Diceros bicornis minor: one gene and its partners. The protein of the gene in region 3 interacts with the protein of the main gene of each other region in a biochemical or structural test. Links are inferred from orthologs where the notes say so. Each region holds a gene or a part of one and is shown on either strand. Other genes may lie near its edges.

What was found.
Region 1: the proteins of BCL2L1 (region 3) and VDAC1 form a complex in vitro, tested with the Homo sapiens proteins (4 studies listed by BioGRID). The link is inferred for Diceros bicornis minor from reciprocal best matches to the Homo sapiens genes BCL2L1 and VDAC1.
Region 2: the proteins of BCL2L1 (region 3) and BMF interact in a test that uses a peptide from one of them, tested with the Homo sapiens proteins (2 studies listed by BioGRID). The link is inferred for Diceros bicornis minor from reciprocal best matches to the Homo sapiens genes BCL2L1 and BMF.
Region 4: the proteins of BCL2L1 (region 3) and HRK interact in a biophysical measurement, tested with the Homo sapiens proteins (3 studies listed by BioGRID and IntAct, with this or other methods). The link is inferred for Diceros bicornis minor from reciprocal best matches to the Homo sapiens genes BCL2L1 and HRK.

Annotation. Positions count from the first base shown.
Region 1 is NC_080740.1:53,195,627-53,202,950, forward strand, and holds the start of VDAC1 (voltage-dependent anion-selective channel protein 1), read right to left. Parts: upstream 3,001-7,324; 5' UTR 2,927-3,000; intron 1-2,926. UniProt on the Homo sapiens protein: Non-selective voltage-gated ion channel that mediates the transport of anions and cations through the mitochondrion outer membrane and plasma membrane.
Region 2 is NC_080744.1:38,022,417-38,030,434, forward strand, and holds the start of BMF (bcl-2-modifying factor), read right to left. Parts: upstream 3,008-8,018; 5' UTR 2,934-3,007; intron 2,927-2,933; exon of another isoform or gene 2,548-2,926; 5' UTR 2,420-2,547; intron 304-2,419; 5' UTR 299-303; coding exon 7-298; intron 1-6. UniProt on the Homo sapiens protein: May play a role in apoptosis. Isoform 1 seems to be the main initiator.
Region 3 is NC_080758.1:27,765,798-27,772,979, reverse strand, and holds the start of BCL2L1 (bcl-2-like protein 1), read right to left. Parts: upstream 3,006-7,182; 5' UTR 2,924-3,005; intron 2,913-2,923; exon of another isoform or gene 2,810-2,912; intron 2,526-2,809; exon of another isoform or gene 1,684-2,525; intron 1,591-1,683; exon of another isoform or gene 1,479-1,590; intron 1,412-1,478; exon of another isoform or gene 1,394-1,411; 5' UTR 1,282-1,393; coding exon 718-1,281; intron 1-717. UniProt on the Homo sapiens protein: Potent inhibitor of cell death. Inhibits activation of caspases. Appears to regulate cell death by blocking the voltage-dependent anion channel (VDAC) by binding to it and preventing the release of the caspase activator, CYC1, from the mitochondrial membrane.
Region 4 is NC_080774.1:14,130,028-14,137,394, forward strand, and holds the start of HRK (activator of apoptosis harakiri), read right to left. Parts: upstream 2,418-7,367; 5' UTR 2,291-2,417; coding exon 2,015-2,290; 3' UTR 1,959-2,014; intron 1-1,958. UniProt on the Homo sapiens protein: Promotes apoptosis.

The DNA of each region.
Region 1 (7,324 bases), on a different chromosome or scaffold from region 3:
CCGTGGAGTGGCAGCTGCAGTGTGAAAGCACCAGCACTGGAGCTAGCCAGACCCAGCCCTGAATCCCAATTCCACTCCCACTGAGCTGTGTGACCTTGGGGTGCTTACCTCACCCCTCCGTGCTCAAGCCTCCTAACCCCTGAAATGGAAACAATAGCACCCCTCTCCCCAGGCTTGTAGGAAGGTGGATTCAATGTCACACAACACGTCAAGCCCCCAGGAGTGTGCTGAGCAGGCCCTCAATAAAGAATGACTGTCATGATGACAATCACACCTCTATAGTGGAGAAACTGAGGAACAAGAAAGCAACGTGACCTGTACTAGACCCTACGGCTCATGTCAGAGCTGTGTTGCAAGCTCCATCTGCTCTCCAGGACTCTTTCCAGCACAGTTCTGGGTAAAGGGTGTAAGTGCCCACTCACCCCCACCCCCCTGAGAGCAAGCAGTGAAATGGAGGATTGTGCCCAGGCCCCGCTGAGGATCCCACTGGTCACCTTTCTTCAGGGACTACCAGAGGAGTGTGTGGGGAGCCCAAGGCTACAGGCCCTCTAGGCACCCTGAGGGGCAGCCTGCAGGCTTGGGCTGGCTCTCAGCCCCACACACGCCTCTCTCAGTCACGACCACCAAGGACATCACACAGTGAGAAAGTCCATCCAGGGTAAAGTGGACTTCAGTGCCTCAGGAGTATCTAACCAGTAAAGGTGGGGGTGAAGGGCCCTCATTACCACCAGCTTGGAGGTCGTGGTCCACATCTGCATAATGTCCAGCAGGACCAGAGGCCCACAGGCAATTCCTCACCATATGGTCCCCCTGAGCCCCTGGGTTTGTGTCTACAAATAGCCCCTGCCTATAGCCTATAGAACAGCAGGAATAAAACTAAGTAACCAACTGAGAGCAGTCCCCCGTCCCCATCCCCATTTACAGTCCTCCTGTAAACCTGCTCAGGACAACTCCAGCAGAAGCCATCAACCCACCCACCATCAGAGACGGAAGAGGCGCCAGGCCCAAGGCCTTTAAGAGAATCCCATTCGCCCATGTCACCTCCCCTGCAAGCCCAGAAACACCAGTTCAACAAGTTCCCCACAGGACTTGGAAAGCCACAGAATGAAGATAATGTGTTTAAAGCAGTTATTTCAAATTAGGAAACAGTTTGCCTCTCACTGCTCTAGGGCTGCACATACCATTGCAGCTCTTAAATATTTGGGATTCTCCGCTACGTAAGGCTATTATTTTCTGGAAGTGAGTGAGATGCGTGTGTCCCTCAAGAAGGATGTCCAGGATGAAGGGACCATGGCCCAGGCCTGCCGCCACTTCACATGCCCATCCAATCATTCACAAACACTTAATGGGCACCTACTATAAGCCACATGCTGGAATGGTAAAACTACCTTTCTGTCAATAAGAGTCGACTCTTGGACAAAAAGCAAGAGTGCATTTACCCCCAAAGACCCTTTAAGTACCTACTGTGGGCCAGGTGGCTCTACCCCAGGCACTGAAAACAAAGCTGCAGAGGGCTTAAGCCTGACCCTGTCCAGAGGGTCAGTCCAGAGCTGGGTGGAGAGAAAGGAGGCAGGCCCTCGGCAGTCGGCCCCGGCCTTGTCAACAGCATATTAGGCAAAGGAGGAGCCCACTTCCTTCTCTTCTCTGGAGAGGGGAAGCTGGTCAAGGGGATGCGGGCCTCAGGTGGTACAGGCCCAGGCCTAGCCCAGGTCTGCACTCACACTCAACCTCCTGCTCCAGCCTGACCTTGTCTGTCTGTGAACTTAAAGGATTTTTCACGAATTATCTGCAAGTTACTCAACGCCTGGCACACAAATGCTTAATAATAATGTTTAAAATAACAGGGCTACGTTTACTGAACTCTTTCCAGAACACCACGTGGAGCAAAACGGTGTGCAGGGGATGGGCTAGACCCTCCCCAAAGCCTCAAGGGTGCATGCCAAGGTTTCTACAGAGGCCTGCTCCTTGCCAGGCACTGTTCTAAAAGCTTCGCGTTAATCAAGTCATTTTATTTTTCCTAAAACCCAGTGAGGAAGAGGTATAATTGCTCCCGCTCTACAGATGAGAAAACTGAGGTTTAGTATCTTCCCAGCTGCGTGACCTTGGACAGTCACTAGGGCTGCGGCCTCAAATCCAGAGGGCTCTGGACCAGTTTCATGAGCGCACCACCACATTTAGTAAATGAATGAACGATCAAACTGGGAATACTTCCAAAGGCCAAGGAGGCCAAGGCGCTCCCAGAGGGGCCCCCTTCGCCAAGGCCTAACCTCTTGCCCAGGCCCCAGCCCAGGCCCCTGCGGCCTAAGTCGGCTCTCGGCCTGCCGTTCCGCCCCGGAAGGCGCTGGCACGCGCGGACAGTGCCGGGCGCCAGCTTCTCCGGGCGTGGACCGGGCAGGCCGGACAGGACGTGCGCGGCTGGGGGCGCAGGGCCACGGTGGTCACATGAGCTCATCCCCACCGGGACGGTGTGGCCCGCACAGGTCCGAGGGCCAGGCCCGGCCGGGCGAGCGTGGGTAGCGGGAAAGTCCCTGCCTGACCGGCGCTGGCGGGACCGAGGGCCTGAGGGCACCGCCGGGGAAGGTCACCTAGATCTGCAGCCGGCCCGGCCTCCACGCGGCGGCCCGTGCCCTTCCGCCCGCAGGTCCCCGCGGGCTCTGGCCCCCAGCCCCAGGCGCCTCCGGATGTCCGTCCTCCCGCTCTCCCGCCCGGGCCCGCTCGCCGCCCGCCCGCCCGCCCGCCCGCGCGGCCTGCTCGGCCCTCCGCTGACCAAGCAGCCCGCGTGAGCCGCTCCCGCTCCCCCCTCGGGCCCGGCCCGGGGCCCCTCGCCCTCGCCCGCTCCTCCCTCATCTCCTCCCCCTCAGCTCCCCAGGAGCCCGGCCTGCGGCCTGGGACGCAGGCAAAGCCCGGGCCCGTCTCCTGCGCCTACCTTGGAGGAGGCGGCGGCGGGCTCGGCGGCGGCTACGGCGGGGGCTGCAGCGCGAGGAGCCGAGAGAGCGGCGGGGCCGAGGGCGGGGCGGCGCGGACGGCGGCGGCGCGGACCCGCCCCGACCCAGCGCGCCCGGCCCGGCAAGCTCCACCCCCAGGGCCCGCCCGGGACACCGCCCAGGCCGGGCCCCGGGCCGCTTCCTGCTCCGGAACTGCGCTCTTACCTCCCCGGGCTCCTTAGTGCCCGCAGCGGACGCGTGTGCCCACGGGCGTGTGCGGGGGCCCGGGAGTGCCTGCGTGCGCCCGGGCACGGGGCGACGGGGGCTGACGTGCGCACGATGTGTGCGTGCGCAGGGACACGCGTGTCCGGCCTTTGCTGGAAATCCCGCCCGGTTGAAGCCTTCGGCGAGGAGGGGGCCTCTTTCGGTTAGCTGAGCGGTGGCCCGGGGTCCCCTGCGCTCAGAGAAGACACGCGGGGTCCTGGGCCTCCTGCTCGGCCTCGGGGCTGGAAAACAACCCTCCCCTGCTGGGGGAGTTTATGTGGCGGGTGGCGCTGGCCCAGGGCCTAAGCCTGGGTGGACGAGGTGATCCCCGAGTCCCCCAGCAAAGCCCGCGCGGGCTGTCAAATCGGGCTCCGAGCCCGTGGGGCAGTCCCAGGCCCGGCTCGGGGCCGGGGCGCCCGAGGCGGCGCGGATGCAGAGCGGCGGCCACGACTGTTGCTCCTCGGCTCCTGGCTCCTGGTTCCCGACACAGTGTTTCCGGAGCCTCCGATCCTTCTTCACGCCGCGCGCGGCTTGCAGAGCCCCGCGATGGCCGGGGGCGAAGCACCAGGAAAACCTCCCTGTGCGCCGAGTTTGCATTCCAGATTAGCAGACAGTTTGCCCCGTAGCGAAGCTACTAGCAGCCATTTTCGGAGTTTTTGAGAAGTAAAAAAAGTAAATTGCGTTTTGCAACAACGTCCTCTGCTGGGTCTCCCGGCGGGCCGAGGTAACGCAGGTTCCCACCGGCCGAGGGCCTGCCTCCCGCGGAGCTGGGTTAAAGCGTGTGGAGTCTCCCTGCTAGGCCTAAACGGGTGGTCTCCTTCACTGGGTGTCTCTGGCATCGCGCGTGAGGCCCACTCCAAGCCGACTTCGAGAATTAATAAATTCGTGGCTGGATGAAGATTCTGCACATCCTTCGCCTTCGGCCAACAAACGTTCTCCAAGGCTTGAGGCGGCTAAGACCCCGTGGAGGAGGCGCCAGGACACTGGCTCACAACCAGCGGCGGCACAAATTAAAGCAGTAGGCAAGTGGGGCGAGCGAAGAGGCAATCAAGACAGACTGCTGGAAAGAGGCGGCAGCTTAAATGGGAAAGTGGCAACTGGTGTTTCAGTGGGGGCGGGGTGCTGAGAAGAAGGGAGCTTATTCAGGCAGTGCGGGCAGAGTGCTCTGGGCCCTTTGGGGGCTCAGATCTGACTGAAAATGTGAGGAGGAGCCCCTAAATCCCTTGAGGTCCTGGAGAGTGGAGGACCGAAGCTAGAACTCTCCCCAGGCCCCTGAGCTGTTCTATGGCTGACTGGGGACTCCAGGCTTCCCAACCTGGTGGTCCTCACGCTGCACACAAAGGCCCCAGCCCACTCCAGGAGAGGGTCAGGCAGGGAAAGCCACTGCGTCACCCATGAGTGCAGTGAGGCAGAGTTTGGAGGACAGGACCTCAGGGAGGCAGGGCAGGACCAGGTGGCTCTGCGGGAAGATGGGGCTCCAGAAACCTCATACAAGCTAGAATCAGATGCTGCGCCCTGGGTCAGTGAGAACCAAGTGGCACTTAGACCAAATGTCTGAGGTGCTCCCTCCCCTCCACACCTTCCTGCCACCCCCCCTTTCAGGACCCTCCACCTGGGGAGAGTTCCCCATGCCCCACCTGCTCTGAGTCCCTTCTGGGGCTCCCCTAGATGCTGCTTTCAGATTCATCACCTCAGCCCCCTTGAGTCACTTACTGGCTGTGTTACCCTGGGCAACAGGCCTAACAGCTTCAACTTCAGAGGGCTGTTGTGAGTTTAAAATGGGACACTTAACAAGTAAGCACTCAGAAAACAGTGAAGAAATCCGGTGGGACATGGAAGCCCTCAGGCCCTAGTGTTGACCCCTCAGCACCACAACCCTAAGGCAAGAGCTGAGCAAAGGCAGCTTGTCATACCAGGCTTACCAACCCCACCCCCAGCCAAACGGCCACTCTGTCTGCCACAGCTGATTGGCCTGGGGTGGACACTGGCCCAAGACCAGCCAATCAGGTCCTCTTGCAAATTTGACCTAAGAAACCCATGTCAGGTCTAATAGTTTTTCTTTGGGGGAATGACTCTTCTCCTCCTCCTCTCAGTCCACAAGCTTTGATGGAACTGTCTCCATCCCTGACTCCAGGGCCATTCTTGGGGTGGCCCTGTGGCTTGGCCTGACCAATCAGAGCATTGCACTCCCCTGGCTACAGGGATGGGCCAATGAGACCCAGTCAGAAATCCTGGGGCTATTGAAACACCTAACCGCTTTCCTGAAAATGAAGCCAGCCCCCAAAAGAGAGACAGAGATTAGGTCCTAGGGACATCATGCTCTGGGATCTAGCCATGCCTCAGGCAACTCCCTGTGCTTTGCAGCTGTCTGTGCTGAAAAATTCACTTTTTACTTTGTCCAGTTCTGATTAGGTTTCCTTCCAGGTCCTTACTCAGTTCACCTCCTCTCTTCAAGCAGAACAATGTACAACATCCAGGAAAACTGAGATTTTTCTTTTATTTTTAGTATTGGAGTGGGTGACCAGTGTAAGAATATTTCATTTAGGGAAGTTCCTTCTTATATCTAACTTACAGCCATAGGGCTTCTACTATAGATATTTAGCAAGATGGAAAGCAGCCAATCACCTTCCTAAGAACCTATGTTGAAACACTTCCCACCCTTCTCTTTTCAGGGCCAGAGGTCCCTGTACCTCTTTACTGTCTTTGCCAAATAATCAGAACCTGAAGATGAGGTCTATGAAAGTAGAAATGGAAGATGTAATTTACATAAATTAATTTTTAAAGTGAAAAACATTCTGCTTGTAACCAGCATCTATGAATTGGATTATAAAGCTGAATTGTCATAAAACCTAACCTTTCTAACCAATTTCTAGACTAGAGTCTGGTTAAGAGGAGTCAGGATTGAGGATTCGTGATCAAGAATCCCAGGCCATAGTCCCCACATTGTGCGCTGACACTCATCACACAGGGAAGGACCTGGCCAGGCCTCCAGGTTCTGGGTGACGTGGAGAACAAAAGTCAACCAGGAAAACAGAATGGAAACCATCCCAAGATAAACACAATAAAAATTTTTCTCCTGCATATCCAAAAGCATGAAGTGTCCTAGATCTAAAATAGTTCCAAGAAGTTCCAATATCATATCCATGTTTTTTTTTAATTTTATATACATCCACACAGAAATATTGGAAAGAAAGTATTAGTGAAAGTTGTGTTTCAATTTATGGAACTATGAGTGATTTTTTTCCTTTTGCTCTTTCTGGATTTCCCATATGTCCTTTAATGAGAATATATCTTTACTATAAAGAGAACTTTTTTTTTTTATGAAAGCCAAACGATCAGGAGAGGTTGTATAAACTGATACAATCTGGAAAGCAATTAGGCAATGTGTAGTAAGAATCATAAACCTGCTCCTGGGACCTATGCTAAGGCAATAATCCTGAGTATGGGGAACGCTAGCTTCAGGAAGGCACACAGCAGCCCAGTGTGGAATGCAGCCTGGTCTCCAGCTTGAGAAAATGGAAGCACATCCTCTCTGTGGAGCTTTCATAGCCTTGGGGAGAGAAGGTCACAAAGACTTCCTGTGGGGACTACTTCTGCTACAACGCTAACTGAAGGCAATCATGTATCAGTGTTACTGCAACCACACCATTAAATACTATAGAGGCAAACTATGGTAGACAGAATAATGACCTCCCAAAGACAGCCACGTCCTAACCACCCAGTCCTATAAAGATGTTACCTTACATGTCAAAAGGACCTTATCAGATGTGATTATGTTAAGAATCTTGAGATGGAGCCAGTAGCCTGGATCATCCAGGTGGGCCCAATGTGATCACAAGGGTCTTTATTTATTTACTTTTTTTTGTGAGGAAGATCAGCCCTGAGCTAACGTCCATGCCAATGCTCCTGTTTTTGCTGAGGAAGACAGGCCCTGGGCTAACATCTGTACCTATCTTCCTCCATTTTATGTGGGACGCGGCCTCAGCATGGCCTGACAAGCGGTGCGTCGGTGCGCGCCCAGGATCCAAACCCGGGCCACCAGCAGCGGAGTGCGCTCACTTAACCACTAAGCCACGGGGCCGGCCCCCACAAGGGTCTTTAAAAGAGGAAGACTGGGGGCCGGCCCAGTGGCATAG
Region 2 (8,018 bases), on a different chromosome or scaffold from region 3:
ACTCACCATAAAAGAGTCGCTGGGGTTCCTCAGTCACCCCACAAGGCAGCATGACACCCTGGCTCGGGGAGGCGGGACTGAGGGTCTGGGTGGCCTTGTCTTCCTGGCTGGTGGGTCGAAGCCCGGGGCCACAGCAGTGGGTGAGAGGGAAGATCTGCAGACGGCTGAGGGGGCAGTCCAGCTGGCTCTGGGCAAACAGGTCAGCAGAGAGCAAGCTCCTGGGCTGGGTCCCCGGCTCCCCATCCTCTGGCTGGAACACATCATCCTCCAGCTCCTCTACACACTGAGGCGGCTCCATGTCCCCTGTCAGGGCACAATGCAGGCATCGGGCATGCTGCCTCCACTCACACCAGACCTGGAAGGAATCCCCTCCTTTTCCTTCTTTCCTGCTCTCCTTTCTTATCTTGGGAAGTGGGGCCAGGTACTGATGACAGACAAGCACTGCCAAGAGTGACACCCGCCCCCAGATGTGGACTGCCTCACTGTTCAGGGACTCTCCATACCTCTTCCCTGCGCCCACCCAGAGCCAACCCTCCCCTCAGCCTCTTCTTCTGTCCCAGACCAGTCCCAGTCATGAAGTTTGGCTGCTATTGACTGAGCAACAGCAGGGGCAGGATCAGCTGCTACAGATACGAAGGGTAGCTGGGGAAATGTGGACAAGACAAGCCTCTGTGAGTGACTGTGGGAGGGCAGAAGGGTGCTGTGACTGGCTGTACACACAGTGCTCACAACACACACACACACACACACACACACTGCCCTGAGCAGTAACCACCAAGCTCTCATCTCGGTCTGAGCTGAGCTCCAGGCTCAGCAGCAAAAACAAAAGCCAGCAATCCTAGAGCAGCCAGGTTCCCTCCAAACCTGCTAAGCCCCGCCCAGCTGCTCATCTACTCTCGTCTCCACCTCCTGCTTGCTCAAGACAACAAACAGGCTGGAGGTGTGGTAAGAGTGTGTCCTTGGAGAGACAGGGGAAAAAGACCTAAGTTCGTCATTGCAGCCACCCTCTCAGCAGAGTAGAGCTGTCTGCCCACCACAGCCTGGACTCAAGGGCAGGTCCAGCAAAGTAGTCAGCCTCCCCCAGCTCAGTCTACTCACGAGTCTCCAGACTTCAAATCTTTCCCCACAGCCTACCATTCCTGCCAGCGCCCAACCTGAGATTGGTACAACCTGACTCACAGAAGGAAGTGAAATTCAGCCCTCTCTCTGTGACCTCACTCCCAGCATAGACTATTAGGTTGTTGATACGAGTTTCTTGGTGATAAAGAAGTTCCTCTTGCTCCACCTGATGGTCTTGGAAGTCTGAGCTTGGAACTACCCAGCAACTTGAGCTCCCAACCCAGCCCCCTACACACACACCAGGAACCCCTTAGGGCCCCTGGGGCAGCCAGAAGCAGCAACGAGTGGTTAAGGATATAGAGAGGCAATGTTTTGTCACTGCCAGATTCAATTAGAGATGCCCTGGGAATTCTGTCTCCCAGTCTCTTGCCTTTGAAGAACAAGCCAAATGGTCTGTGGGTTGGTAAAGTACTTAAACCAATCTCCGTTAAATTCAGAAATCCTGCCTTTCCCAAATGCCATTTCTCTACTTGCTTCAACCCTCCCTCCATCCCATCCAGTCCCTGAGCTATCGATGGTCCTATCTCTGCCCTCTTCCCTGGAGAGTGAGGAGATGCCCACTTGGATGGCAAAACAGGCACACGGTGTTCTTTGGATAGTGTTTCCCAAAGGTGGGTGGGAGAACTCCAGTTTATCAGCACCAGGAAACAAAGTTTCCCACTGAAAGGACCAAGTGCTGTCCTGCCAGTCAACTGGCAGGGGCTCCCCTCCTGCCCTTCAACCTCCTCTCTGTAAGCTGGCAATCCCAACCTAAGAAGGGGCCCTCCAAAGCCAATCACAAGCAGGAGTCATTGTCTTGGTTTTTCCTTTGAAGCCCGTCACCTCCCCCTCCCCCTCCCAGCAAAGCCCCAAAGTTCAACCCTTGTTTGGCTGGACGGTGGGGGAGGTGCAGCCAGAGGGTGTGGCTCTGCAAGCCCAGGGGACCCTTCCCACTCTCCACAGGAACTGCAGGTGGCTCTTCTGTAGGTGGGTGCCTCCGGAGGGGTGCTGGGCAAGGTCAAGTGTAAGCTGGGATACAGTCAAGAGACCCTCTCCCCCTCCTTCCCCTGAGCTGAAAAGCTGATATCAAAACTGGTGGGAGAAGGGCACTTCCTAAGAACACTGCCAGGGAAGGCTTTATTCCTAGCAAGGGGAACTAAAGCCCGCTGGAGCCTTCCCAGCCCCTGAGGGCTCTAACAGGGATGCTGAACTTCGACTCCTCCTCCCAGGAGAAGGCAGTAGCCAGACACTCTGAACCTTGGCAGCGACTAAAATCTGGGAACGCACACATACACACGCACTCACACAACACACAGCAGACCTGGGTGACTCCAGGAGAGAGTCTCGGCCTCCGAGTCGTGATGCCAGGGCTCCGCGCCAGGGTCCAGCGTGACGAGCACTTGGGGGCTTGGCGCCCAGACTCAATTGGGAAGGAGGGAAAAAGCCCAGCTGTTAAGGAGAGGCGCCTTCAGACTCTGCAGGGAGGCAGCACAGCCCACAACTCCCTGCCCTACCCCAAAGGCAGACCCAGAGGCCGGGCCGTTCTTGGGCGCCCAGGTCTGCTCAACAGTGCACCGCAGGTTACCCTGCCCACCTGGACCCAACGCCTCGGAGTCTCAAATGCTAGAACCCCCAAGTTCCCTCGTGGAACAACGCACCCAGATGTGGGTTCTGCACCCCATTCCCGCACCCCAGCGCCCCAGTCCTTCATGGTCACCCCAGAAGCCCGCAGCCCAACCCTTCCCGGGCCCCCAGACGCAGCGCGACTCTTCTCCCCACTTCCCCGAGGAGGTGCGATCCAACTCCGCCCGGCCCTCTGCCGCCCGGGCGCTCACCCGGCTGCGGCAGAAGGCGGGAGGCGCGGACCGGGGCGCCGGCGGCAGCGGGCGGGCCGGCGCGGGAGGAGGCCACTCTGTACCGCGCGGTATTGTTTCCAAAATACGCCCGCTCGGGGCATCCCGCAAACAGCTGATGAGGCCCCGCCTCCGGCGCGTCACGCCGACGGCTGGCCAATGGCAAGTGGAGCCCCAAGTCCCGGGCTGGGCGGCTGCCAGGGACGGTCACGAATGTACGAACCTTCCTTTGGAAACATTGCAAGGGGCCGAGCAAAATTCCTACCCCCTCCAGAAACGCAATTGGAGCGCCGTCGCCCGCGCAGATTCCTAACGCAGGCTCGGCAAGCGCTGGAGAGTCCCTGAGTCCTCTCTATTAGGATGGAGAGAGGGGGCGCCAAAGAGACTTTTGTCTTGTCTTTCTCGGGAATAGACTGAATAATTACGCGCGTCCAGAAAGGGAGGGGAAGAGGAGGCGGCGAGCCTTTTAGACGAGGCTGGCGGCATCCAGTGGATGCAAGGTGCGTGTCCCTGTGGATTCCGACCTGGTGGCAAAACACCCTCCCGCCTGCCGAGCGGGTCAGAAGAGAACTCCAGCCCCAAAGCTGTAGGAAGCGTGAGAACACGTGTATCTGGCGCTGTTAGTGAGTGACATTCAGATCAAACACGTCCAAAGGGACCCTCATATCCTCTTCTTGACTGGGCTTGGACGCTCAGAAAAGAAGCGTCTAGCTGAGGAGAGGCGAGATCAAGAATGCAGGGGCTACTTGGGCGGTTGACACGCATCCTGTTTATGGCAGCATCCAGAGATGGTGCTGGTGCTGCCAGGAGAGCAACGTGTCCTGCCGATTGCGTACTATCAAGGGCTGTTTCACAAACATTTATTGAACGCCCACATTGTGTCAGGTACTGGGCTAGGTGCCAGAAACCTGGTGCCTGCACTCAGGGAGCTGACAGTCTGCTTGGAGAGGTAGACTGAAATTGATGGAAAGCAGCACAAAATGTGTTAATTCCAGGGATAATAACTGCTGGGAGACGCAGAAAAATTCAGAATGCAAACACTGGGAGATGGCTTTTGAGTTGGGACTTGAAGGATGGGGAAATTTTTCAAGAAGGAAAACCAGATAAAACAGTCCAGGCCTGGGGGTAGAAGATTAAACTGTTAAACTGGAAAACCTGTCCTGGTAGCAGGGGCAGGCTGGGGGACGGGATCATCAGGTGCACACCAGGATTCAGGGAGGGTGGGCATGGACAGGTAGGGTCAGGTCAGAAACAGAGGTGTCTCTGGGATGCCAGGCTGGGCAATCTGTACTTTATTCTGGAGGCAAAGAGGAACAAAGATTTTATAGAAGAGGAGTGACTTGACCAAGCCTGAATTTTAGGAAAGATAAATAAAAATGCCAGAAATCAGTGAGAGGGAGCCAGTGCCTGCAACAGACTAGGTGAGCGTTGATGGGCCCTGACTCCCGAGCAGATGTGGGGACTGGCAGTGCTCTGACCACCAAGCTGCTGTCTCTGGGTCATAAACTCAGATTTAAGCTAAGGGAGCTGGGACCCTTAGCCCAGAGGAGCCTGAAGTCTCCTTGAACCTTTTCCCTACCCATTCTTTCCATAGCTCTTGCAAAAGGTGCCTGAAGGAGAGTGAACCAGGCATATTGAGGACTGTGGTTGCTCAAATAAGAAAATACTGTCCCCAAAGGATGGAGAAGAGGGAAAAGGGAAAGAAGGGAGAGTCAAGGGTCGCCAGCAGCCGAGTCCCCCCAGGAGTCGATGGATGTCTAGAAAGAGCTGCCAAAGCCAAAAGGAAGTATATTATTTTACCGGGAGGCTTGGCCAAGAGGGAGTGTCAGAGCTGGTTGGGGTGACCTTGCACTCATGCCATACATGGGGAGATAAGGAGACTAAGCCCAGCCTCTGTGTAGGGCACAGAGGAGCCTTCACCATGTTCACCACGCACAGACCTCCTTCCCCTCCTTCCTTCCATCCTTCTCTTCTTCTTTTCTTTTTTTTTGTGAGGAAGATCAGCCCTGAGCTAACATCCATGCCAATCCTCCTCTTTTTGCTAGCAGCAGAGCACACGCACTTAACTGCTATGCCACAGGGCCGGCCCCATCCGTCTCTTCTTATTGGCTTTCCTCCTCTGCCGGTGTCTCAGGCTGGCCCGTGGGGCCTATGAGCATCATTAGGATCAAGAGTAGAACTGATGGGCAAAGCAGCTCTGAATCTGTCCTGTGGGGCAGCACAGGCCCCAGGGGACAGGGGTCATCCTAATTCTGCTGACCCACCGGAGCTGCTAAAGCCCTGTCTGCTTCATCACAGCCCTGCAGGGTGGAATTGGGTCCACAAGGCAAGGAAGGTGGTAGAGCAAGATTTTTACCTGGGATCCACGTATTCACCAGACTCACCAGGGTCTCCTCAGCTTTAGGGTCTGTGAACCCCTGAAACTGGCTAAATTTTTTGTGGGTTCACACAAACATTTGTTTGGCGGGGGGTAGCTCCATAGCTTGCAACAGTTTTCCCTATAAAGGGTTAAAAGTCATCAGTTAGAGGAATGGGGCGGGGGAGCAGAGGGGATCATCTTAGTGGGTCTGGCCAGTTTGCAAGATGGGGGAAGGGTCACACCCTCTAGTGACGTTTCTTCTAAGACCTCTCTCCCAGGCCTTCCCAGCCTGCTCCCTCAGGCTGGTTCTGAAGGACACCGGTGGCTTGGCCTCCTGCGCTCTCAGCCTCTAAGGTCAAGCAGCAGGGCCCAGCCTTCTGAGCTGGAGGGACCAGAAGAGACTGTCAGGGATAAAGGGGTCAGGGAGGTCAGGAGCCTCACTCTCCACCTCTCATCGCTGTCAAAGCAGACTCCTCCCTCTGGGCCCTTTCTCTCCTTCTGGCACAGGGCAGACTCAGCAGTGTCAGGACCCCCTGGGCTGGAGATTGGGGTTTGGAGCCTCCGACCAACAGCAGCACCCTACGAACAGATGAACCCTGGGCTTTTGACTGGGCTCGGAGCACATTGCAGCCGCAGCAACCTTTATTTTGGAGAATCTCTTCTTTCTTTCTCTTCCCACCCCTTGCCCCAATTTGTTTTCTCCTCTGCTGGCTGGTGCTGGCTCTAGAAGGAGGCAAAACTTTGCCCAGAGAAAGGAAAGTTGCTCTGAAAGGCATGAGTGTGGGAGCCTGAAAGAGGCCTGCAGACCTTGCCCTGCAATCTGGGAGGGATGCAAAGAGTTAAGGGGAGGCTGCTTTCAACAGAAGAGAAAACCCAAGCTCCCTCTAGAAAGCAGGAGCCCTCTCCATTGTTTCACCTGGCTATAGGATTTCTCCCTGAGACAAGGAACGGGCTCTGAAACTCCGGTAACTGGATCACTGGGAAGGGAGGTTTTTAAAAAACCAGCTGACAGCTGAATAATAGGAATTACCAGGCAGGCTGCCCCGGGGTTACTGAGGTTTGTAACTCAACCCCCAGGGAGGGGTTAGATTGGAAACTGATTTATGGGTAAGGTGGGGGTCTTGGTAGGGGAGCCCCTTGCCTCTTAAATCCCTCCAGGAGGGATTGTGTACATAAGAAAGACCAGGAACCTGGAAGGCTTGGTATCCTTCCCTCACTGGACTTGCTCTAACAGAGTGAATTTATCTCTCCATGCATTATTCCATCTGTCTGCAAAGGAATAGTCCCTGTCTTCTGTGTTACAGAATGTGTGTGTGTGTGTGTGTGTGTGTGTGAGAGAGAGAGAGAGAGAGACACACACACACAGAGAGAGAGACACAGAGAGAGGGGGGAGAGAGAGAAAATATACCAGAACAGACAGATGGGCTTCTGCTAATTGGGTAAGCAAGTGGAGAGACTTGATTTCCCAGTCGATGAATTCACTACTTGCCAATCACTGGTTCAGTGGGACTCAGAAAAAGCAGGTACTGAAGAGAAAACATTTGGGAATTCAGAGACCTGCGTGCATAGGGAAATGCAGAGACTGAGGCTACCATGGTAAAGCCCAGTGCAACCTGAAAGATAAGGTGTGGTCCAGGATCCCACGAATTATGACATTCAGCACATATTCGGTTTTGTTTGGGGGAACACTCAATAAATATTTGCTGAATGACTGAATAAGTGTACATTTCCACATTTTAAAAATATGAATAGTTCTGGTTGGCGAGTGGGAAAAAAGCTGCAGGGGAGGATTTTCCAGAAACGTCCTGTCTACGTTGTGTTTGCTGCTAGGGATAGCTGGCCTTGCCTGAGTTTCTTCTCACCAGCAGGGCCTCCCCCTCAAAGGCAAAGGTGATGTGTCAACCCTTTGGTACCCTCAGACCACCCCTCTTCTTCAGGCTTGGCACATGATGGAACTCTCTAAGTTTGTGGACATAGATTTACAGAAAAACTACAAGCATGGTCCTTAGGGCAGTGTCCTCAGCATCTCTCTCCCCCACCTCCTGCCCAACCCAGAGCTCAGCATGCCCAGCCCTTGGAAGAGAAGTTGGCTGTATTCTGCCAAGGAATGAAGAAATCCAATCAAAATACTCTTCCTTTTACTCCACTTTCCCCAGGATGCGGCCTCTTTCCTGGGCAAAGGTACATTAGTACATCAATACATACTTCTCTTTGGCATTAGTAAGGAAATCTCAGAAATTTCCAGGTGAGGCCGGAGAATGATCAATTGCTATCAAGGAAAACTGCCACCTGGAAGAACTGGGGACTGGTCCCTTCTGGGCATAGAGTCTCCCAGGTTTTGAATCTGTGCTCCTCTGAGAAGGTGAGTTGGATCAGCTGTTTTCCAGCCACATCCTTAACCCCCACTGTCCTGGAGTGGGAGGGGGTCACTCTCTGGCAATGAGGGAGGGGCTCAGTCACCCAGGTGTGAGGTCATCCTGAGCACCTGCCGTGTGCTAGGCTCCATACCAAGGGCTGGAGGTGCAGATACAATCCCTGGGGGGATCCTTGAGCATATCCACACCCTTTCTTCCCAAACATGAACCTTCATATGCACACCTATACCCAAGCTCAAAGAGAAACTGGGGACGGGAGGAGGGTGTGGCGGGAAGAGCTGCAACTAGAGAACTGAGGGTAAACAGCCTTCCCAGAGAGGCTGAGCCTCCCCG
Region 3 (7,182 bases):
CCAGGCCTAATGCGTGACACAGCAAGAGCTCCGCAAACAGGCCAACCATGCAGAAAGTTGCACACTTCAGAGCAAATGACCATAGGCGAGCAGCACAAACACAACTGCCCCACTGGCACAGCTTACATTGCCCTAAAATCAGACCATCCTCAGCCATCCAAGCCAGGGGGAACTCCTGCCTGGCCATGCCCTGTTCTGAGAGGAGAGTACCATGTATGCAAACCCTGAAAAAAAGGGAACTTGATTTGGGGGAGGGAAGCCCAGGACAGGACTGACATCCCGGGGGAGTAAGAATGGAGGAGCTTGTGGGTCACTGATACTATCTTCTCCAGGCATTGTACTCATCCCCCCTTTGCGTGGCAAGCCTTTATATTAGGGGGAGGGAAACAGTGGACTAACTTCCCACTCTCAAAGGTTTTGGGCCAAATGAACACACAGGCTGTCTTTTGCTCTTCTGAGAAACTGGAACACAAGTATGAAAGAGTGGGGTCATGAGGGTGACTAGAATGAAAGATGCCTGGTCCTTCAAGATCTGGGTCATCTGTATTTCAGAACAGTTAACCTCTTGTGGTGCAATGAGGCTACTCACATCTCCTTGACAAAAAACATCTCCAACAATCACCCAGCACAACATAAAGAGATAGAGGGGAGAGGCTGTTGGGGATCTCTCTGACCAAAGGCCAAGGAAAAGGGACACACAAGGGGCGTGGTCCTTACCCAGCCGCCGTTTTCCTGGATCCAAGGCTCTAGGTGGTCATTCAGGTAAGTGGCCATCCAAGTTGCGATCCGACTCACCAATACCTGCATCTCCTTGTCTACGCTTTCCACGCACAGTGCCCCACCGAAGGAGAAAAAGGCCACAATGCGACCCCAGTTCACCCCATCCCGGAAGAGTTCATTCACCACCTGCTCAAAGCTCTGATACGCTGTCCCTGGGGTGATGTGGAGCTGGGATGTCAGGTCGCTGAATGCCCGCCGGTACCTCAGTTCAAACTCATCGCCCGCCTCCCTCAGCGCTTGCTTCACCGCTGCCATGGGGATCACCTCCCGGGCATCCAAACTGCTGCTGTGGCCAGTGGCTCCATTCCCCGCGGAGCTGTCCGCCAGGTGCCAGGATGGGTTGCCATTGATGGCACTGGGGGTCTCCATCTCTGATTCAGTCCCTTCTGGGGCCTCAGTTCTGTTCTCTTCCACATCACTGAACTGACTCCAGCTGTATCCTTTCTGGGAAAGCTTGTAGGAGAGAAAGTCAACCACCAGCTCCCGGTTGCTCTGAGACATTTTTATAATAGGGATGGGCTCGACCAGTCCATTGTCCAAAACACCTGCTCACTCACAGAGTCTGGTCTCTGCTTGGTGCTTCTCTTCTGAGATCCAAAGCCAAGATAAGGTTCTGAAGGGAGAGAAAGAGCTTCAGGAAAAAAAAATTAATATGCATGCCATTTACCCTACAAACATCCCATTCCCCCTCCAGGTACCAGAACTGGTTTCTTTGTGGCTCTTCTGAAGGTCTGGTCTAGCTTCCAGGAGACTTCAATGAAGTCAAACTGAAAGCACCAGTGGGCTCTGAATCATCACACCGGCCTTTTTTACGCCAGCCACCCCTTTTTCTCCGAAATGCCTTCCTCGGAAAATCACCCCCCTGGGCAGTCGGGCCCCTACCCCCGCCTCCGCACCACCTACATTCAAATCCCTCTCAAGCGACGGCAGGCAGGTGCAGCCCCCGGAAGATCTTTTGTATCACAGGTCGGGAGAGGAGGTGGCAGCCGGGATGCCGGTAACTCAGCCGGCCTCGCGGCGGCTGGCAAAAAAACCAGCTCGGGCTGAAAGGATCATGCGACCCGGCAGGCTGGGAGCCCAGAAGGCGACACAGGAATTACGAAGCTCAGGAACCGGCCCCCTCGCCTGCTTCCTCCTCCATCGCCCAGATCGAGGGCGGCCGCTCGCAGCCGCGGCCTCCTGCCACCCGGGAGCCCAGCCCCCTCGCTCTTGCACGCCCCTTGGCTCTCCGCCTCCTACTGGGAGCCAGGAGAACTCTCCCGGAGGTGGCTGGTGTGGGGTTTAGGGTTTGTTTTTGTTTTTTTTTTTTTCTTTCCTATTTAAGTACCAGCCCAGGGTGAGGCTTCCGAAACCCTGAAGGGACTTCTCAATGGGGCTCAAGGTTTCGATGAGGGACGGAGGGAGGGGGAAACTGCCTCGGATCTGCGGTGTGACTTCGGAAAGGCCATCCCCAGGCCTTTCTGGGAGGCTGAAGGCCGGGGACCTCCCAGAAACGCCGCCGGTTTTCTTTGAATTCCCCAAAGGCCCTGGACGTGGCGGTGGCAATGGAGGATTGCCGGGTCCTCCATTCCCGGCACGGACACAATGGCCGCCGGCACCCTGCACAAAGACCGGCTGAGGGCGAGGCGCCGGGCCTCTCCTCGGGTCAGGGAGAGGGGTCGAGGCCTGCTCGAGGCCCCCCACGGCTAAGACCACGTTTTCCTGGGAGAAGGCCCAAGGCAGATTCGTGCCGCCCCCAGGAGGGCTTGGGGGCCGGGGGCAGCACCTCTCCGGCGGCCGCGGTGGGTGGGCTGCGGCCTCGCGGCTTCGCGCGCGCGCTGGGCCGGGTACCCGCCGGGCCACCGCCCCGTTGCTAGGCAACCGCTCTCCCTCAGGGGCGCCCCCTAGACCTTTCTGGGAGGAGGGGTCTCGCCCCCGGCGGCCCGCCCCAGCGTAGCCAATCAGCGAGCCCAGACGGCACGGAAGCGGAACGGCGAGGGCTCTCATTGGGCGCAGCGCCTGCCACGCGTAGGGGAGGCGGCGCTCTCACCTGCGCGCCCCGCCAGCCGTGGGGGGCCACATCCCCCCTTCATCGGCCAAGTCGTTTCCAGACGGGAGGGTTCTTCGCGGCCGAGTTCCGCGCCGCGGACCCGGGCCGGCCTACCTGGCTGACGGCTCGCGCTGTCTCTTCCGAACGAGCCGGCCTCAGTTTCCCCTGAAGAGACCGGGGGAACTTGCAAGCTCAGTCACTTCCGGTGCCGCGGTAGCGCGCGCGAGCCCGAGACGCACAGGGAGTGCGCGCCTTGAGGACTGGCGTCAAGACCTGGGAGAGAGCGCCCCCTTGCTGTAGAGCTGGGGAATCCCGAGACGCAAAAAAAAATCCACGTTTACGTTCACGTTTCCATTCAGTCAATTTCATCCATCCGTCAGTTTATAGATCGAAAAAGCATCGCGTTGTAGCTAACAAGCTTGCGTCTGGGATTCCAACTCTGCCAGTTGGGCAAGTCACTCAACTGCTGTGTGCCTCAATTTCCTTAATTCTAAAATGGGTAAAAAACAACCTCCCTCATTGCGTTGTTGTGAGGATTAAAAGAGTTATTTGTAAAGTCCATAGAAGAGTGCACCGTCCATAGGATGTGCTGCATAAATTCACTCAACAAATGTTTATTGTTTGGGTTGCTGAAGGTAGATTTAGGAACAAGACAAGCCATAGTCCCTGCTTTCATTGAGATTTAAACCCTTGAGATGGAGAGAGACAGTAAACAACTAAGAAACTACACAAACGAGGTAATTTCAAATAGTGACTAGTGCTATGAAGAAAATAAATCAGGGCATTGTTGTAAAGAGGGTGAAGGGAGAGGTGCTGCTTTAGACTGAGGCTCAGGGAAGTAAGCCCAGCCTTCCGTGCCCAGTGAGGGAGGGAGGCATTTTTTCAACAATTGTTTTGCAGGGTAGCCAAGGATGGCATCTTTGAAGAGATGACATGGAACACAAGACTTGAAATATAAGAAAATGCCAACTCATGGGAAGAGCCTAGAGAACACCAACAGAGGCAGAGGGAACAGCTTGTGCAAAATGTCCTGAGGCAGGAAGGTCTTGGCATGTTCCAGAAGCAATGTGACTGGAAGGTAGTGAGGGAGGGCAAATACGGTGTGAGAGGAAGTTGGAAAGCTGACCATGGAAGTGAGTTGCGCTTGATTCTAAACACTGAAAGGTGTTTTATTTTATGTTAATGTAATTGATTAAAAATAGGTACGTATACAGGAACACCAAATATTAAAAATATACCAAAGAGCATAGGATGAAAAAGTCCTCTTCCCACCCCTGCTTTCCAGTCCCCTGTTCCCCTCACAGAGGTCATCACTCTTTTTTTTTTTTTTTTTGTGAGGAAGATCAGCCCTGAGCTAACATCCATGCGAATCCTCCTCTTTTTGCTGAGGAAGACCGGCTCTGAGCTAACATCTATTGCCAATCCTCCTCCTTTTTTTTTCCCCCAAAGCTCCAGTAGATAGTTGTATGTCATAGTTGCATATCCTTCTAGTTGCTGTATGTGGGACGCGGCCTCAGCATGGGCGGAGAAGCGGTGCTTCGGTGCGCGCCGGGATCCGAACCTGGGCCACCAGTAGCTGAGCGTGTGCACTTAACCGCTAAGCCACGGGGCCTGGCCGAGGTCATCACTCTTAACCCCTTCCTTCTGTAGTCTTTCAGAGATGGTTGCTGTGTTCACAAGCAAATTTATGTGTATAAATGTTTCACACAAATGGTAGCTTGCTATAAACACTTCACATCTTGCTTTTTCCATGAGCTCTGTATTTTGGGTCTGCCTCAATTTTTTAAATTAATGCACAACTTTGTAAAGACATGTCATAATTTCCTTGCCCAATCCCCTATTTGGAAATACTTAGGTAGTTTCCAGTCCTTTCCTATTACGAATAAAGTTATAACTTGTCCATTCCTTATTTTGCATGTGGCAGTTTATCTGTTGGGTAAATCCCTGGAAGTGGAATCACCAATAAACAAGAATGTTTTCGTTGCGTTTTAATGGATATTGGCAAAGTGCTCTATATAGGAGTTGTACCAGTTTGTTCTCCCACAAATAAAATATGAGAGTGCCTATTTCCTCACATCCTGAACTATACAGTGTTATCAAAGCTTTTTATTTTTGCCAATCAGATAGATAAAAACGGAGACACTTTCATTTTTTATTTTTATTTTTATTAAGAGTGAAGTTGACTAATTTTTCATATTTGTGAGTCTTTTGGGGGAGGAGTCTTGTTCTAATGAATTCTCTGTTCATTTCATTTGCCCTTTTTTCAGTTGGGCTTTCTGTTGAACTTTTTACTCATTGATTTATAGAAAATTTGATCCTTTTTTTCTATATGGAGGTTGTAAATATTTTTCCAGTTTATTATTTATTACCATGGAAAAACTTTTATTTTGTATGTATTCTAATGTATCAGTCTTTTCCTTTGTGGCTTCCGGGTTCTATGCCATTCTTAGGAAGACCCTCTCCAGTTTGATATTATACAAATAATTCTCTGTTTTCTTCTAGTTTTTACATGGTTGCATATTTTACATTTTAATCCTTGTTCCATCATAAATTTACTTTGTTTTAAGGTCTGAGACAGGAATCCAAAAAATTTTTCCAAATAACTACCTAGTTATCTCAATATTATCATCTTTTCCCAACTCATTTGAAATGTCTCCATTGTCATAATCTACGTTCCCAACGGTATTTGGGTCAATTTCTGAACTTTCTATTATATTCCATGGAAGGGTTTTAAACTGGGCAGGACATGATCTGATTTCCACTTTTAAAACCTGTGGTGTCACAATTATTTCAATGTGAAAATTATCCTTATGGAAGTCTATGATGTGCTTTGGGAGCCCAGCAGAGGGCAGATCAACTCTGCCCAGAAACATGGTTTTTATTGAACTGGCCCTTAAAGGGAGAATAGGATTTTGCCTGGGAGAGAAAGGAGGTAAGGGGCATTTTAGGTGGAAGGCACCACCTGAGCAAAGCCACGGAGGTTTAATGCAAGAGCCCATGGTGTGTCCTAGAAATAAAGTGGGATGGCTGAGAGTAGAATGTGGTGGAGGAGACTGAATGTATGTGTGTATTCGACTGCGCAGGACACTAAATAGGTACCGGAGGAGCCTACCAGGCTTTTTGAACAGAAAGGACATGGAGAGGTTTATATTTTGGAAAGAGGGATAGAGTCTTTTGGGAAAGGAACTTTATAATATTTATCAAGAGCCTTAAAAACAGCTCTGGAAAGATCATTGAGAAATGATCTTTGATTGGAATCTAATTTAAGAAAAGAAGTGAAATACAGCCAAAGATTTATCCACAGAGATGTTTATGCAAGATTATTTATAACACAGGAAAGAAAAATTAAAACTGAGAATTTCAATAAATAGGGTGATGGTTAAATGGGTTAAATTCACACATTAAAATTGTAATTGAGGAATATTTAATGACATGGAAAAATGCTCAAAACATAATACTTTGTAAAAAAAAAAATAGGTTTACTGAGAATTATTCTAATTTATAAAAAACGTACATTACATGCAAAATATAGAAGGAATTATACCAGAATGCAAAAATGTGGTTATTGCTGAGTAGTCAAATTATGGATGATTTTATTTTATTTTTTATACTTTTCTGTATTATCCGAACATGATTGTATTTTTTTAAATTAGAAAACACTATTTAAAAACATGTTTGCTGAGATTTAGACAATGAGGAAACGCTTATACAAAAATAAAAGTATACAAAAGTAGATGTGTGATGTGATCTCAACTCTAAATACCATACATACGAAAAAGGCTGAGAAATTAATATGATAAAGACAAAAGAAAGATGGAAAAAAACCCTTGCACAGATGCTAAAGAGGAACGGAACCAGAGCGGTCAGTAAACCTGAAAAGATGCTTAACCTCACTAGTTATCAGGGAAAATGCAAATTAAAACCTCAGTGAGATACCATTTCACACTCACCAGATTGGCAAAATTGAGAAAATCTGATCAAATCAAGTGTGGTTCAAGAATGTGAAATAACTTCGGAAAAAAAATTATTGTTATCTAGTGGAGTTGAAAATGCCCATGACCTATGACCTGGCAATTCTGTTCTTTGATATATGCCCTAAAATAACTCTTGCACATGTGCAAGATGCAGGTATAAGAATGTTTATAGCAGCACTACTTGTAATAGCAAAAATTTGGAAACTACCCAAGTGTCCATTATAGCAAAACGGTTAAACAAATAGGAGTATGTTCATATATAGTAATATGATACAGTAAGAAAATAAGTGGATTTGGCTACACAGCATGAAAGAATCTCGGAAATACTTTGCATGAAAAAAATGCAAAAGAATAATGCAGTATGATTCCATTTATATATAGTTTGAAAACAGGCAAAAC
Region 4 (7,367 bases), on a different chromosome or scaffold from region 3:
CGGGCCCGCACCCCCAGACCCGACGCGCACACACAGCCAGGCCCTGGCCGGGCGTTCTCCGCCTCCTGGGTGGGGCGCTCAGCATCCCGCACCGCCCTATCCTGGGAAGGGAGCGCTCTCCCAGTCTCACATGGACCCAAGACTAGAGGAAGACGTGTCCTAGCCCCGCTCTCCAATTCTACTGGATTCCTCTCGCTTCCCATCTTTCCTCTGATTCACTTTCCCACTGTCTTGCAACTTGTTCTCCAGGCAGTCTCTCTTTTTCTCCAGCTGCCTCATCCTCCTTTCTTTCCCTGTCTCGCCGCCCGCTTTTCCTTTCCCTCTCCTCCCACCTTCTTTCCGCCTTTCCCTAAATTCCACGCTTTGGGCTTCGCGTCTCTCCCTCGACTCCCTTTTTCTGCCGCCTGCGTCCCGTTTAAAACGTCGTTCCTGTGCCTGGGAATCGGCAGCCCCAGCCTGGCCCCTTCCCGGCTGAGGGCAGCCCCGGGCCTCTCTTTCTGGAGGGGGAAAAGCGGATGGGACCTCCGGGAGCCGGCTGGAGAGCTCCCCGAAGCGCGCACCTCTCCTCGCCGGCGCCCGGGCTGCGCCGGCCCACGCGACATCTGTCGCCCGCGCTCCCGGCTCACACCCCGCGCACCCCCGCAGCTCCCCCGGCGCTGCCACCCCCCACGCTCCGGCTGCCGCCTCTCCCCGCGGGCACAGACGCTCGGGTCTCGCCTGCGGGCGCCGCGCCAGCTTCCCAGGGTGTCGGCGCACCGGGGCGCTCCGCCGGACCCGAGCGCGCGGCATCCGTGGACCCGTGGCATCCCAAGGTGGCTGGCTTTTTCACCTTCGACCCTCACCTTCGGCCCCAGACTCACCTATGGTGGGCTCAGCCTGAGTCTCTCCACCCCCATTCTCTGTAGCTCTCCTCTCTATTCCAGAATCTGAAAAGATGATCCTTATACGTTTGCTCGCCCAAAGCGCCTAGCGCAGTGCCAGGCACACGGCTGGTGCTCAATAATTCCCCAACCCCAAGGGCCTAGTGCACAGTAGATGCTCAATACCTTTCTCCCACTGGTACCAAACACACTTAGGAGCTCCATACTCACTCCCCACCCCCACCACCGCGCAGTGCCTAGCATACCGCAAGCTCTCAAACATTCCATCCTTAAACAGGGCCTAGCATCCAGAAGGCGCTCAATAAATGCTCTTTCATTAAGGCTTCCCCTTGGAGCTTCCCTAAGAGCCTCAGATCCCAGCCCACTTCGGGGGCATCTCCTTCTTCATCTCAGTCCCAACCGTCTGGTGAAGAGGAACCCAAGCTCCTTAAACGGGACACCTCGCTGGAGAAGGAGTGAAAAAGTTGGCAAAGCGGAGGAAAACTGCCAAGTGCGCGGGCCTTGGGAGAACAACAGCCAGCTAGGAACCTGGAGGGAGAGGAAGTCGCGAGATGCACTCGGGGACCCAGAGACTGGGGAACAGAAAGTGAAGTGACACTTAGGAAGAAGAGGGTTTGGAGCGGAGGTGATGGAGATGGCGGCGACTTAGGACCAGCAGGAGGCTTGGAAGAGGACGGGGGACTTGTCTAGAAACGGCGATAGATTATAATTATTTGCGTGGCTTGTAACTACGTTCTCATAGAAAGAACCCTTTTTAACTTGTATTGTGTGTTTACTTGCGGGGCTGGTGGGGATTATGGAGGCGAAAGTCTTCCCAAAGCCACCCCACTGGAGGGAGTGGCAAGATGCGCTTAAGCATTCCGAGAGAAGGGGACAGAAACAGTGGACCTGACACTCGGAAGGAGAGAAGGGAACTGGATAGGAGGGGGACGGAGATCCTTGCGAGAGAAGGGAGCAGAGGAAGAAGGAGATGGGAAGAGAAGAAAGCCAAACTTGCCGCGCTCCCGCTCCCAGGCCGGCCCAGCGTCTCCAGTCCCCAGCTACCGCGCCCTGGCGCGCGCTCGCTCGCTCGCGTACCTGTTGCTCGCTCCGGCTGGGTCTCGGCTCCGGCCCCACCAAGAAGCCCCGCGTTCCTACAAGTTCCGCCTGCCGAGTAGCCAGGCCGCCAGCGCCGCCACCTGCGCGGCCGCGCACAGCCAGGGCCAGTAGGTGGGGAGCGCGCCGGGCGCCGGCACCCTCCGGCTCCGCGCGCGGCGCCGCCACATGGTGCGCTGGTGCAGCTCGTCGCCGAGCGCCTTGAGCCGGGCGGCCGTGAGCTGCGCGGCGGACGAGCGCAGACCCAGGCGGCCCGCGCTGCAGGCACACACGGCCGGGGGGCCGCGGCCGCGGTGCAGGGGGCACGGGCACATGACCGCTCCACTCGCTCCCTCCCCGCGCTCGGGCCGCCCCTCGCCTCCTCTTCCTCCGGCCTCTGCGCCTGCCTCCGCCGCGCTCCAGCCGCCGGGGGCCTCCCCTGGACACCAAGTTTCTCCTTGTGTTGTGCGTTTGTTGTGCTGACGGCGCTATTATTAATTAAAGTGTCACATGGTGGAGGGGGGCGGGGAGGGCTCGAGGAGGGGGGTTACATCATCCGGCCCCGGGGGGGGGGGCTGCAGGCAGAAGAAACCGAGAGGTAACTTTTAACCCTTGCAGCGCCGATAGCGAGGGGGCGCGCGGTTTGGGGGAGGGGCAGCGCGGCGCGCTGGACGCGAGCAGGCACCCCGCCGCCGAGGTCCCGGGCTTGGGGGGTCGCGGGGGACCCCCGCAGAGGCGTGGAGCGCCAGCGAATGTTTCCTCGTCCTCTTTTTCCTGAATTCAGCTCCAGTTCCGATTTGGCGACGGAAGCAGGATCGTTTGCCGTTTTGGATGAAGCTGGTATCGAATTCGGCTGTATTCAAAAATATTCCGAGGCTATTGTTTCGTTTTGGGGAGGTGGGTTGATCCAAAATCTTACGAGAGGGCCAGTGTCAACCCAACTTGCCTACTTTCAGGTCTGACTAGGCACCTGTAGGCTTCGGATTTGAACACACCGGACACACGCCCCCACCCGGCTCTGGGCTTTGGAGCCAGACCCTATCGCGCCCCCAGCGCGGCTAGAAACCTTGCTGGAGGCCCGGTGAGGGGTTAGAGGGGTCGGTCCTTAGCCCCGGCGGGGCGCGGAGGCACGCATTCGCTGCGCGCCGCACTCGCACCCAAAAGACCCTCCCAAGGGGCTTTCTAGAGGGAAACTTATTTTTGTCTCCTTCCTTTGTGAATATTATTTTCCTGCCAGGGTTATAGTTTCTAGCGGCGATCCCGATTTAATGCGCGGTGGATACCCTAAGGGGTCGGTGGCGGGAGGGACGCTGGGGACTTGAGCCCTTTTCTCTGTGCAATCCAAAGGCTGCGCCTATGTTCCTTCAGACTAGAAGGTCTGGAGTTGTCCCTGCTAGTGAAGGTACAGATGGGCGAGCGGCTTTCAGGATTCTTTGGGAGAGAATGACCATCTCCGATCTTAAATCCATTGGGATTCAGATCAGTTTGGGAGTCAGAAGACCGGAGGAGCCCGGAGGTGGCTCAAGGTGGTGGTCTGGGACCTGATGAGGAAGCTTTGATTCTCTCCAACCCAGGGCAGAGTGTTGCTGAGGCCTAATGAGTCCTCTGGTCACTTGGAAAAGATTCAAGACCATGAACTTCGTTTGGATCTGGATTTATTACGAGGAGAGATTCCCCCGGCCTGCAGCATGTTCACGGCTCAGATCCCAGCTCTGCTGTGTGATCTCAGGGGCCCTTGCCAGCCCCGGTTCTCCTACCTTTAACCATGATCAACACTTCCCTTACTTAGCCTTCTTTGTGGGTTACTGGGCTAAGGTCTCTGCCTAGCTGCCTAGAGTAAATCTCGCAACAATTCTAGAGGAGGAGAGGGTGTTATTACTATCCTACATTACAGATGGGGAAACTGAGGCACAGGGAGGTAAGGCCTCTTGCTCAAGCTCACAGAGTTAGTGCAGAATGAACCTGTATTTAAACTAGGGCAGTCTGCCGCAGGCTCTAAACTCTTAACCACGGTTTTATACTGCCCCCTGTAATCTGGGAATAATAATACCTCCCTCCCAGGATTGGGGCAGAGATTAAATGAGAAAAATGTATGCCAGGCACCTGGCATGCAGTGGGCCCTGGATAAACCTTGGTTCCCTTTGCTTCTGGCCAGAACCACTTCCCCATTCTCCTGGGACTCACCTCCTTAATCCCCCCTAGTCTTTGCAGAGGGGAGCTGATCCATTGCCCAGTGGAGCGTTCCAAGAATGAAGATACAGTGTCTATTTAAAAAGCCCCTTGGATTTAAATTGAACAATTCCCTCCCCCCCCTTTTTAATCTGCACGCTTTTAACGGCTCACTTCATGGACATTAATTTTAATGGGACGATTATTACCCTGTTTGGAAGCCTGCCCCTCAAAATGCTGGACTCGCAAGGTGGCGCTGGGTCCGGTCCCAGCCGCTTGGATGTTTTCTGTAGCAGAGAGAGTGCAGCCTTGGCCGTGGGGACGTGTCATTCAGCAGAGGGAGAAGAGAAGGGGGTGATGGAAAAGTAGGGGGAAAGAGAAAACCTCTCGCTCCCCGACTCTGCAGTTGATAGTCGCTCATTTGCTCACACTGGAGTTGTTCTGCCCTGTCCCCCTATTTACCAGCTGGGGAACTTCGCCTTGAGATGAGGCTTTTTGGAGCCTCCATTTCCTCAACTGTAAAATGGGGATAATAGCCCCTATCTCACAGAGTTAAATAAGATCATTCCTATAAAGCACTCAACGTGGTGTCCAGCACATTCTTAGCATTTAATAAATGTTGGCTATTGTTAACATTTTAAAGTAGGTCATAGAGTCGCTAAGCAGTGTGCTTCGAAGAATGTTGGAGGGCCTGCACCCTCAAATATATATGGTTCCCCTATTGTGAATTGGCGATTCTGTCACTCATGTTAAGTATTGTCCAGAAAAAGCAAATTCTGTGGGAGAGTAACATAATGCTCTCGTAACACTTTAGTTAAAATGAGTTTTTGATTTTACTATTTAATTTGATAAACACTTATATAGTGCTTACTCTGTGCCAGGCACTGTTCTAAGTGCCTTAGACATATTAACTCATTTAACCCTCCTAACAATGTTATGTAATAGGGCAGGTACTGTTATTGGTCCTGTATTATGGATGAGCAAACTGAAGCAGAGTGTTTAGTGTATCCAAGGTCACACAACTGTCTGGCCCCCAGAGCTTGTGCTCTTTAGCATTATGTCACCACTGGGGACTTGGGAAGTGAGAGGGAGGCTGTTATAGGCTGACTTGTGGCCCTCTCCCTCCCCCCAAATTCCTACGTGGAAGTCCTAAGCCCCAGTACCTCAGAATGTGACTGTTTTTGGAGACAAGGTCTTTAAAGGGGTAATTAAGTTAAAATGAGGTCATTTGATTGGGGTCCTCATCCAGTATGACTGATGTCCTTATAGGAAGAGGGAGAGGCACCAGGGGCTCGAGAAGATGGCCATCTTCACACCAAGGAGAGAGGCCTCAGGAGAAACCAACCCTGCCAACCCCTTGATCTCAGATTTCTGGCCACCAGAACTGTAAGCAAATAACTTTCTGTTGTTTGAGCCCCCCAGTGTGTGGCACTTTGCTGTGGCAGCCCTAGCAAATGAATACAGAGGCAATGTGAGGGGCAGAATGTCCTAGAAGGGAAGTTAGAAGCAGATAGTCACCAGACTATGGCCGCTTTTACTGCCGGGTGTGTTCTTGGGCGTTTTTCTGGGTTCTTGAAGAGGGCTGAGTTCCAGGACTTCTCCTGTGTTCCCCTTCTTTCTCCTCCATGTCCCGTGGGAGGCTTTTAAGGGAGGAGGAGTTTTAGGGGATGATTTTGAGAAATAGTTCATGAAATCCAATTGATACCTTTATTCAGAGAAAACTTTCCCTACCAGTTGCAAGGATGCGCAGCCTCTCTCTCATAGAGTGAAGAGATAAGACAGATTTTTCTAGTCCATGCAAGTTCCCTATGGAATCCCAGTACTTAAAACTGGGCTTAGCACATAGCAGGTGCTCATAGCAGATAAATGTTTGTTGAAAGAAAGATTCAATGAATGAATGAATGAATGAATGGTAAGCATCCTGATTTGTCTTTCTGTCTTTCAGACATGCACTGTGATGTACATAGAACTGTTATCATTAATAACATAAAAAAATTCTTGCCCCAAATCATTCCCATACCTCCTACCAAAATCAATACTCGAGTGTTTTGAGCGGGAATGGGAGGGGTCTTTCTTTTCTTTAATTAAAACAATAATTACCTACCCTGGTGTTTGAGACTGAGTGAGCCTTACCTTATGTTGTTTTAATTCGTGTGGCTTGGTGGAGTGGTAAATGAATGAACAGCTGTGACCTCCTCCAAACAGCTGTGTTTCCTGAAGCCATGTATCAATGCCAGGGCCAGAGTCGATGCCAGGAGTCAGTTTGGGGAACAACAGAGTTCTCGAATCGTAGTCAGTGTGATAGCAGAATGGTTTGATACTCCAAGCCAGAGAGACTTAGGTTTGAACCCTAGCCCTGCCGTGCAATAGCTAGGTACCTTGGGAATATTTTTCACTTCTGTGAGCCTCCATTTTCCTATCTGCAAAATGGAAGTAATAATCATAGTTCCTCATTGGATTGTTGTGGGGATTCAGAGAGAATGTATCAAGTGTTTAGCAAAGTGCCTGGCACTCAGTAAATGTTAGTTATAGTGCTTGTTGATATATCAGGATTATTAAGTATCCACTTAAGCAACAGAACTGGGACCCTGACCCAAACCCACTGGGAGAAGAAGAGGATTCAGATTTCAGTGAGTCCAATATTCAATTACATCACATTTATTCCCGGGAAAGCCCCCTCCATTCAATAAACCGGGAGCAGGACAGCTCTCCTCTCTCACATGTATCCTATTTAACCCTCTGATACCTGAAAAGAGGGGCTAACTCCTCCAGGGATCTCCAAATTATTCATTAGATACTTCTCTCTTAAGGACCTTTTTGTTGCAAGTAAAGAGGGAACAGCAGACAAATGTCCGCAGCAGGAGAGAAAAAATTAACCAGCCCATAATTATAGTCTCATCAATACTTGAAGCGAGAAGGGTAAACCTCACTTAAATAAAACCTAATGCCGTGATTACTGGAGTCACAAGAGATGGGGTTGGTTAAACACGCACCCCTGCTGTGAAAATTCAGACATAGCGTCCTTTGCTCCAGCAATAATCACTTTATTGAAGGCAACCGAGCTTAGTCTACACAAGCGAATCACTAGACTTGAAATTATACTGAGAGGGTAAATGAGGATAAATGCTAGAAAACAATTTGGCAGATCTGGAAAAATTGAAAATGCGTGTGCTCTATGACCTGGTGGTTCCATTTCTAGCTATTTACTCTAGCCCAGTGGTTCTCAGCTAGGGACAGTTTTGC